2 linked regions of the Nothobranchius furzeri genome follow. The protein of the gene in region 2 interacts with the protein of the main gene of each other region in a pairwise test. Links are inferred from orthologs where the notes say so. Each region holds a gene or a part of one and is shown on either strand. Other genes may lie near its edges. The genes, in order: znf830 and aqr.

Region 1 (3,981 bases), on a different chromosome or scaffold from region 2:
GGAAAACATTCAGATCTAATGTAGCCAGGTCTTTGGTTTATTACAGTAAACCACCGATGACCATTGGTGTTGTTTTAATCTCATTCCCGAACACCAGTCTTTCTATATTCTTTTCATCCATTTCCTCCATTTTCCATCAGGCTTTTCTTGACCCATCAAGTTCCAAATGCTCTCATAAACACCCGGTACAACTTTTAAACTCTGTGTTTACAAACGAACACTAGGAATGGCATTGTCAGACAATTATTCACCTCAAGTGAATACTGCAGTTTAAACCTTTTGGGATAAAACAAAGTGTTTTTGTTCTGTATTTATTCCTCCTTATTTTCACCAGGTTTATAACGGATCACATAATCTGTTCATGTATTTATACTTTTTAAAATTTATTTTGTCATGTTTTGTAGATATGAAGGGCTATGAACACTTTGAAGTGGTTGTTTATGAGACATGCAGCAATAAGTAAGTTTGAGATGTTGCAGTGGGAAAAAGGCAACCCTAGCTCATCATATATATAAAAGGTAGTGTAAGAAACACTGACAATCACTATTTCCAATACATTTTATTGCATTTTAATAGTGCATCTATCTACATCGCAGAAATATAAAACTTTGTTGTGCTTTGTACAAATGTATTATTAACTGGTTATCTTGTTAAGGGGGCCAGCTTGTTGAAACTTAATTTATGGTCTTAATCACAATATTTTAATGATTTAGTTCTGCAAATGTTGATTTTTGATGTGACATGAACTTTTTTTTTTTCATTAAACATGTCATCAATAGGTTATGCAGGACAATGGTTATTTGAGCTCATGTTGTCAGGGCCTTGGCCGCCATCATGGTGTAAATTGTTGCTGTAAATGAGATTTTATGATTGTTTTTTGTTTGGGCACCAATAAAGATGATAAATGGTTTTATTTTGTGGTCATTAACTGATATTGTTTCTGAGTTTTACTCACATCTTGCAACTTTGTGTTAATCACTGTAATGTTATAGAAAAACATGAGCATTTTTAAATCAAATCTATTTATAAATCTTGAACTGAAATCTTTAAACAAAATAATTGTTGAGTCAGTAATAAAGTTCCTTCAGGCCAGAGCCCCTTTAGCCCTCCAGTCTCGAGACAAAAGCCCCAGGAGCCCTTCTTCATCCTCCTCATCATCTTCAACAGTCTCCTCTGTTTGAATGCGTTCACTAGGCACGTGCACAACCTTCCTTTTCAGCACTTCTCTCTTATCCCTGAGTAGCTCCACTCTTTTGTAACACTCAATTTGTTCATCAATTTCATCGATCTGGCGTTCAATGCGACCTTCTTCGTCATCCTCCGCCACGATGGCCTCTGATTTGGTGTTCACCTGTCGTATCTCCTTCTGAAACTCTTCCCACTCTTTGTCCATATGATCTTTTGGTGCATCCACGTTTCGCACTTTGGCGTCCCTGACTGGGTCGTCGAAAAAGCCTTCAGGGAGCGCCTCTGCTGTGTTATCCTTCTTCTCAATGGCCTTTTCCTGCACGTCTGCTTTAAGGATTGATCCTGAATGGGAAATGGCAGGTGTGGATGGGATGGAGCTGTCAAAGAAGTCAGATGGTAGTCCTGCAACTTCAGTCTTCTGAGCAGGTGGATTCGTCTCATCAGCTTCCTCTTCCTCATCATCATCCCCGTCATAAACACCGGCCAAGAGACTCAGTCCTGCAGACTTTTGAGCAGGGACAGCAGCTTCATCGCTGGGTTTATCGAAGAAATCTCCAGGAACTCCTGACGCAGCCTGACCATCAACCGCCGCTGGTTTTGCCTTCTTCCCAATAGCGTCTTCGCTGTCTGACGCTTTCCTCTTCACCGCTTGACTCGGTGCAGCCACTGATTGAGTCTTGGCTGCCTTCAGCTCAGCAACCTTTTCCTTATGCTGCTTTCCAAGAACATGGGCTGGCCACAGTAGCTCCGACTTCACTTGGACGCTGCACAGGACACAGCTGAGGTGACCGAGACTGTTGTATTTAGCGAAAGGAGACACGATGCGATTCTTCTCGGTGGTTTGTCTTTGTTTCTCTCTCATCAACCGTCGAAGCTCTTCTTGATTTACTGCTTTCTTTCCTTTTTTAGAGGATGCCATTTTTAATAACACGTCTTGTTAGCCAGGTAGCAACTAGCTCACAACACCGTAAAAATACGTCTCATGAAGATGACGTATCTTCTTCGTCTTTATCGCGGGTAAAAGGTAACGCCTAGCTCATTGCTGCCATCAACTGGATTTGAACTGGAATAACACAACCTACATTTTTTATTTCTTTCTGATTTTGAATGAATGCCCCTCTCACTCCTTTCCACCTTTTTTAACCGTGTTTAGCAACATTTTGGAAACTTTTGGGTTCATAACTATTAAAAGTCACGTATTTGACAATATGGCTGATATTATGTTTTTGCACAATGTTTAGTTATTTGTTAACGATTCCTTCTGTGTTTAAAATGATAATTGGGTAAAGGCCTATCTAAATTTACGAGATTTTTTCGGAAAAGTTTCAGTTATTCTTGGCAGACACTCAAACTACAAGCATATAAAAACAACACTAAAACTATAAGATATAAAAAATAAAAGACTAAATAACATTAATTGAGATTACATGTATTTTTTCTGCAACTAATTATTAAAATGAGCCTTTAAGGTATCTATGAAAGTGTATGGAAGTCAGTAATACTAACACGTGGGATGTGAAAGCGCCAATATAAGTGTCAAATCAAGCTGACATGCATGTTTTTGGTTTGTGGGAAACCGGAGTCATAAACTTTTCATGTGTCATAAAAGTTGTGTTTTCTAAAATATCACATTAACATATGTCTGTTCTTGGAAAAGCAATTTTATATTTCGTTGAAAATAACGGCATAAAAATGAACAAGTGTATACTTTAATTTTTGTCTCGTGTTAAAACACACAATATACCTTGGTTGAACAAAAATAATACATTTTTTTTACATTTTCTTTTATTAGCTGTATTTTAGAAGTTACTAAATCAACATCCTGTCTTTAAATTAATCATATTAATTTACTCTTTAAACCAATAATCTCGCGAGATTTGCGGTACACCGCTGGTGCTAGCGAGAATGTTAGCTTTTTGGTTTATTATACCAACCTGTCCGCCCCACTTTTGCTGCAAAGACTGAATCGATAATATTAAAACGTAGATTTAAGGTGCGATAGAATAGATAACGATGTAGCCGTCGTTAGTCGCTGTACGTTTTAGCTTTATGTTATTTTAGTACAAGTGTTATTTTGGGTTTAGCATTAATTTCTGTTTTCATCGCCGCACCCACCATATTCATTATTTTATTGTGGGCTAGCTAGCTAGCGCCGGGGGAGCTAATTGACTCGGGACAACAGCTGTAACGATATTTAATCAAATATTTAAAACAAGCAAATATTTGTCGTTTATTTGCGGAGCCTTTCAGTGCTTTAATAAACGCCACGCCTTCACCAGTTTGTAATCTAGTAATTAGCGTACTGTAGTCTGCACCATGACAGGTGAAAAGATCCGCACCATGCGAAAAGATCACAAAAAAGCAAACAAAAACCAGGAGATAACGGACACCTACGAGGAAACCTCTAACGGTACGATCTCTAACGACACTTACAACCACTTTAAATCCAACAAGGCTTTTCAGAAATCAGTTAAAACCTCCGCGCTGCAGCAGCAGCTTAATGCAAACAACATCAACGGAAACGCATCAGTGAAGGACGATGACAACAAAAACCCAATTATCCTGACCAGTGATGAGCTGGAGTTCCCTGTTCATGAGTGTGTGTACAAAGGAGATGTGCGTCGGCTCTCTTCTCTCATTAGGACCCACAGCATTTCTCAGAAAGATCTACATGGTAAAACGCTAATTTCGTTGATTTTAAATGCTTTAGGATTGTTTATTTATCTTTCTGTACTACCAGTCTGGACAAATGTGCTTGTTTTTACAGGGAACACACCTCTTCACCTGGCTGTG
Region 2 (3,824 bases):
ATGCCCTGCACCTAGACAATACGAGGGGATTTCATAAACCTACACTTGACATGGCATCAGTGCACGGTTCACCATCAGCAGCCCAGACACCAGCAGCTGTGCGGGCGACCTGCTCCGTCAACCAGCCCGAGGTGTGATGCAACAACTAACCTCTGGTGCACCATAATGAATTTATCTCCAGTCTGTCTCTGCCTGCAGGCTGGGGGACTGTTAACCGCTTCATGTTAATTAAATTAGGTTTAAATTACCAAGACCTATTTTTTTTAACCTTTTGATGTTAACACAAATATTAAGTCTCGCATTAATGTCTTCACCATACGCAGAAATCTCATTCCTTACTACCCAACGCTCTGCAGAGCTGCAAATATGTGAATGGTTGAGGATTTGTTGTTGCTGGTTGAGTGAGTGCATTTCCACAGGGCAGCTTGAAATTCCCCAGCATACACACAGGCTCATGTGTGAAGGACCTGACCTATAAATGCAGCTTAGTTGAGCTTGTATAGGTTGAACCAATCAGATTTGAAGCTGATAAATGAATGAATCATGACAGAGATTGAAATAAAGCCTTTTTGTTGGTGTGTGTGTGTGCGTGTGTGTGTATGTGTGTGTGAGAGAGAGAGAAATGATTGGATATACAAAAAGTTTTCCATGTTATTTAATAAAGAACTGGATGTTATAAAAAATACAAAAATCATCATCATGACGATTTTATTTAGTAGAAAACAGATGCAGAAATAATTAAATCAAACTACTTTTTTATCCAGAGGGGAATCCCTCATCAGCAGTCCAATTAAATGCGTTCTACTGCTCTTCTGCGCCGCCCTCCTCCTCGCTGTCGCTGTCTCTGCCCGGATGCTGCGGCATCTTCGTGTGGTCGACTTCATCCTGCTCTCCTTTGCTCTCGTTTGTGTCCTCTGGGTTCGGCACGGAGCTCGCCTCTCCTTCGGGGGTTCCCTGCTCCATGGGCGTTTCTTTCTGGGATTTCTCTGAGCTTTCTGGTGTTTTCTCAGCTGCAGCATTTGAAGACTCTGGAGTTTGTTGGGGAGGCGTTGCCAGTTTCTGCTGCTGCTGCTGCTGTTGAGAAGTTACACAAAAAAAGGATTAAAACATGTTTCTGCATAAAAAATTTCAAACATTAAAGGAAAATGTTCACAAAGTCTCTAGTAGGTGTTTTGATCAAACTTCACAATATTTAGCGTCTAAGTCTGAGGTGATATTTAGCTGCATTAGTTGAAGGAAACAAAAACAAAGTATTTTTTTTCCATGAATTTTAGGTATAAATATGATCATGTTTTGTTGTGTTATAATAAAATCAAATATTTGCTCCTTAGGAACATTTTTTTTTTTATTCCTTCAGTTATTTAAAAAAAATGTATCTAGACACAAAACAGATAGATATGTAATTAGTAAATTTACTCATCTCAAACCAATTTAGCTTTTATTAGATAATTATCCACAATTAAAGGTACATTTGTTCATTGATTTATCAATTTTTAAATGAAGAAAGCCTTAAATATGCTGTTTTATCTGCTGTTTTACCTGTTTGTACTTCTGGGAGGTCTGGATCATGTGCATGTACATGTTGTACACAAGGTTAGCCATCTCCGGCATGTTATTCACAATCCGGTCAGGCTGCTCATCTCTCTGAAGAGAAAAGTAAAAAAATAAATAAAATAAAGGAACAATTAGAGAATCCAGAATAAGACAAAAAGGAAAATAATATCATTCACATTAGAGTTGATTAATTCAGGCACCATCTGGGGCAGCACTGATTTAGGGCTAAATGTTGGGAGGAGATTAAAACTTCCTTTCCTGCTGCCTTGTTATTCGTAAGCTAATATTTCCCTCCAGCTTTTGCTACTTGCACACTGATCAAATGCAGTTTAGGCTGCAGAGTCAGTAATTTGATGGCATCAGTATGCAGACAGAGTCCTGCAGCCTAAACTGAAGAGAGGAACATTCAGCTAAGCTGCTGATGGTAAATCCAGGCGAGGTGCTCGCAGACGCCCTGTGGGCTTCGTGTCAAAGTCAATGAGACTGAAAGCTTTACTACTATACAACTTAACAGCAGTAAAAACTATCAGTCAAACCTTCTGATTCATTTCCAAACGTGATGCATTTAGTTTTACAAATTAACCCAAACTGTTTCTATTCAGACAAAACCGTCGAGATAACAAGCCCACGAGAGTTCCTGTTGTGTCGTCAGACAAAATCTTACTTTTCTTCTGCATCTGTGTGTTCGCAGGTGACGTATACTGACTCTAGGTGGATGTGATAAGCAGGGGGACACATGTGTGTGCCCAATAGAGCTGTCCCTCATGGGGATGACCACTTGAGAGTCAGAGGATGTGTCAGAGGCTGCGGGGTATTATAGACACAATACAGTGACCAGACACAAGTCGTGCCACGCTGGTCTGGATGGACTTGGGAAAAAGGTTTTGTCTCTACCATAGCCAGGTTTGTGTTACCTGAAAATACCAAACAAGTCAAGGTCTGTGTGTGTATTTGTCTTCAACACTGGGAAGAATAATAAAGAAAGTCCAATGTAGGTGAGGAAGTAAAGAAGAGGGATCCGAGGAAAAGTTGATGCGTTTCTGTTGCGTGTGACCTTTAGGGCATAAACGACATTGCACAGGTGTCCCTAAATAGGGCGCTTCTGGTCCTACGACACAAACGTGTGATCAGGAACCAACGTCAATGTTAATAATAATCAGGCTCCACCCACTGCAGCTGCTTTAACTCACATACACAAAGAACATCTTCCCTGCTCATTTGGATCAGAACGCCACAACATACGTTGCCATTTTGCTGTTAGAGCTTTTCTCGTTTATGCGAAACGGTTTCTGATCAAAACTAAATTTATACCAAGTTATAACGGTAGACATAACTTTGAGACTGCTTCTTTTTCTCATCACACTGACACACAATTCAAATACGAGAGGACCTTGAATTGAAATTACGAACAAAATTTGGGTACTATGCTAGTGTGTGTGTGTGTGTGTGTGTGTGTGTGTGTGTGTGTGTGTGTGTGTGTGTGTGTGTGTGTGTGTGTGTGTGTGTGTGTGTGTGTGTGTGTGTGTGTGTTGACGCACATGCTGCTCCTGGTTGTAGTACTCGTGTGGTCGAATGTGGAGCTGCAGCGGTCTGGCAGTGAGCTGGTTGAAGACTGGAGTCAGCTCAAAACAGTTCTGGAACAGAGACACTCGGGCAAAGATGTAGAGACCCAACCTGGCCCTTGACATGGCCACCACCAGACGCCGCACATCCCTGTGGAGAACGATAAATGTTGAAGTTGTTTTTTTTTCTACTTTCCTTTGGTACAAAGGGGGGGAAAAGATTCAAAGACCTGAGTGGGAAGGAGGGAAAGCTGTGGAAGAAAAACCTGTGTAGGGGCAACAAAACAAAAGCTGGCGCCACGGTGAAAGGATAAACACGAACAAGCAAAGATGAGTTCGGTGTAGGAGGGAGGTTTAGAGGAGGATAAGCAGGACTAGTTGAGTGGGACAAATATGGAAGAAGACAAAGATAAGCAACGATTAAAAAAGGGGGAAGTGGGACAAAGAGGAAGGGGCAGATTTAGGTTACTTTTATTTGCTCTCTAAGGTAATTAAGAGATTAGGAGGGACAGGAGAGTAATTTCTATAAGAACAGGAAGAATCCTGTTGCGGTTGTTTACTCTGCTAAAGAAGAACGCAGCATAAAACCAAAAGATGTCTTTTAAAAAGCTATAAATGTGAGCACGAGCCAAAATTTAAGCTCAGTGATAAGCTATGTTCGCTGTAGATAGACGCCAACTGTATAAAATCTAAAATTCACAAACCAAT

The links.
Region 1: the proteins of aqr (region 2) and znf830 interact in a two-hybrid assay, tested with the Homo sapiens proteins (2 studies listed by BioGRID and IntAct, with this or other methods). The link is inferred for Nothobranchius furzeri from reciprocal best matches to the Homo sapiens genes AQR and ZNF830.

What each region holds. Positions count from the first base shown.
Region 1 is NC_091751.1:50,905,066-50,909,046, reverse strand, and holds znf830 (zinc finger protein 830), read right to left. Parts: upstream 2,218-3,981; 5' UTR 2,108-2,217; coding exon 1,085-2,107; 3' UTR 541-1,084; downstream 1-540. Other genes in the region: ankyrin repeat domain-containing protein 13C, read left to right, coding at 3,505-3,862, 3,956-3,981.
Region 2 is NC_091758.1:25,923,840-25,927,663, forward strand, and holds the end of aqr (RNA helicase aquarius), read right to left. Parts: intron 3,268-3,824; coding exon 3,093-3,267; intron 1,645-3,092; coding exon 1,540-1,644; intron 1,075-1,539; coding exon 802-1,074; 3' UTR 640-801; downstream 1-639.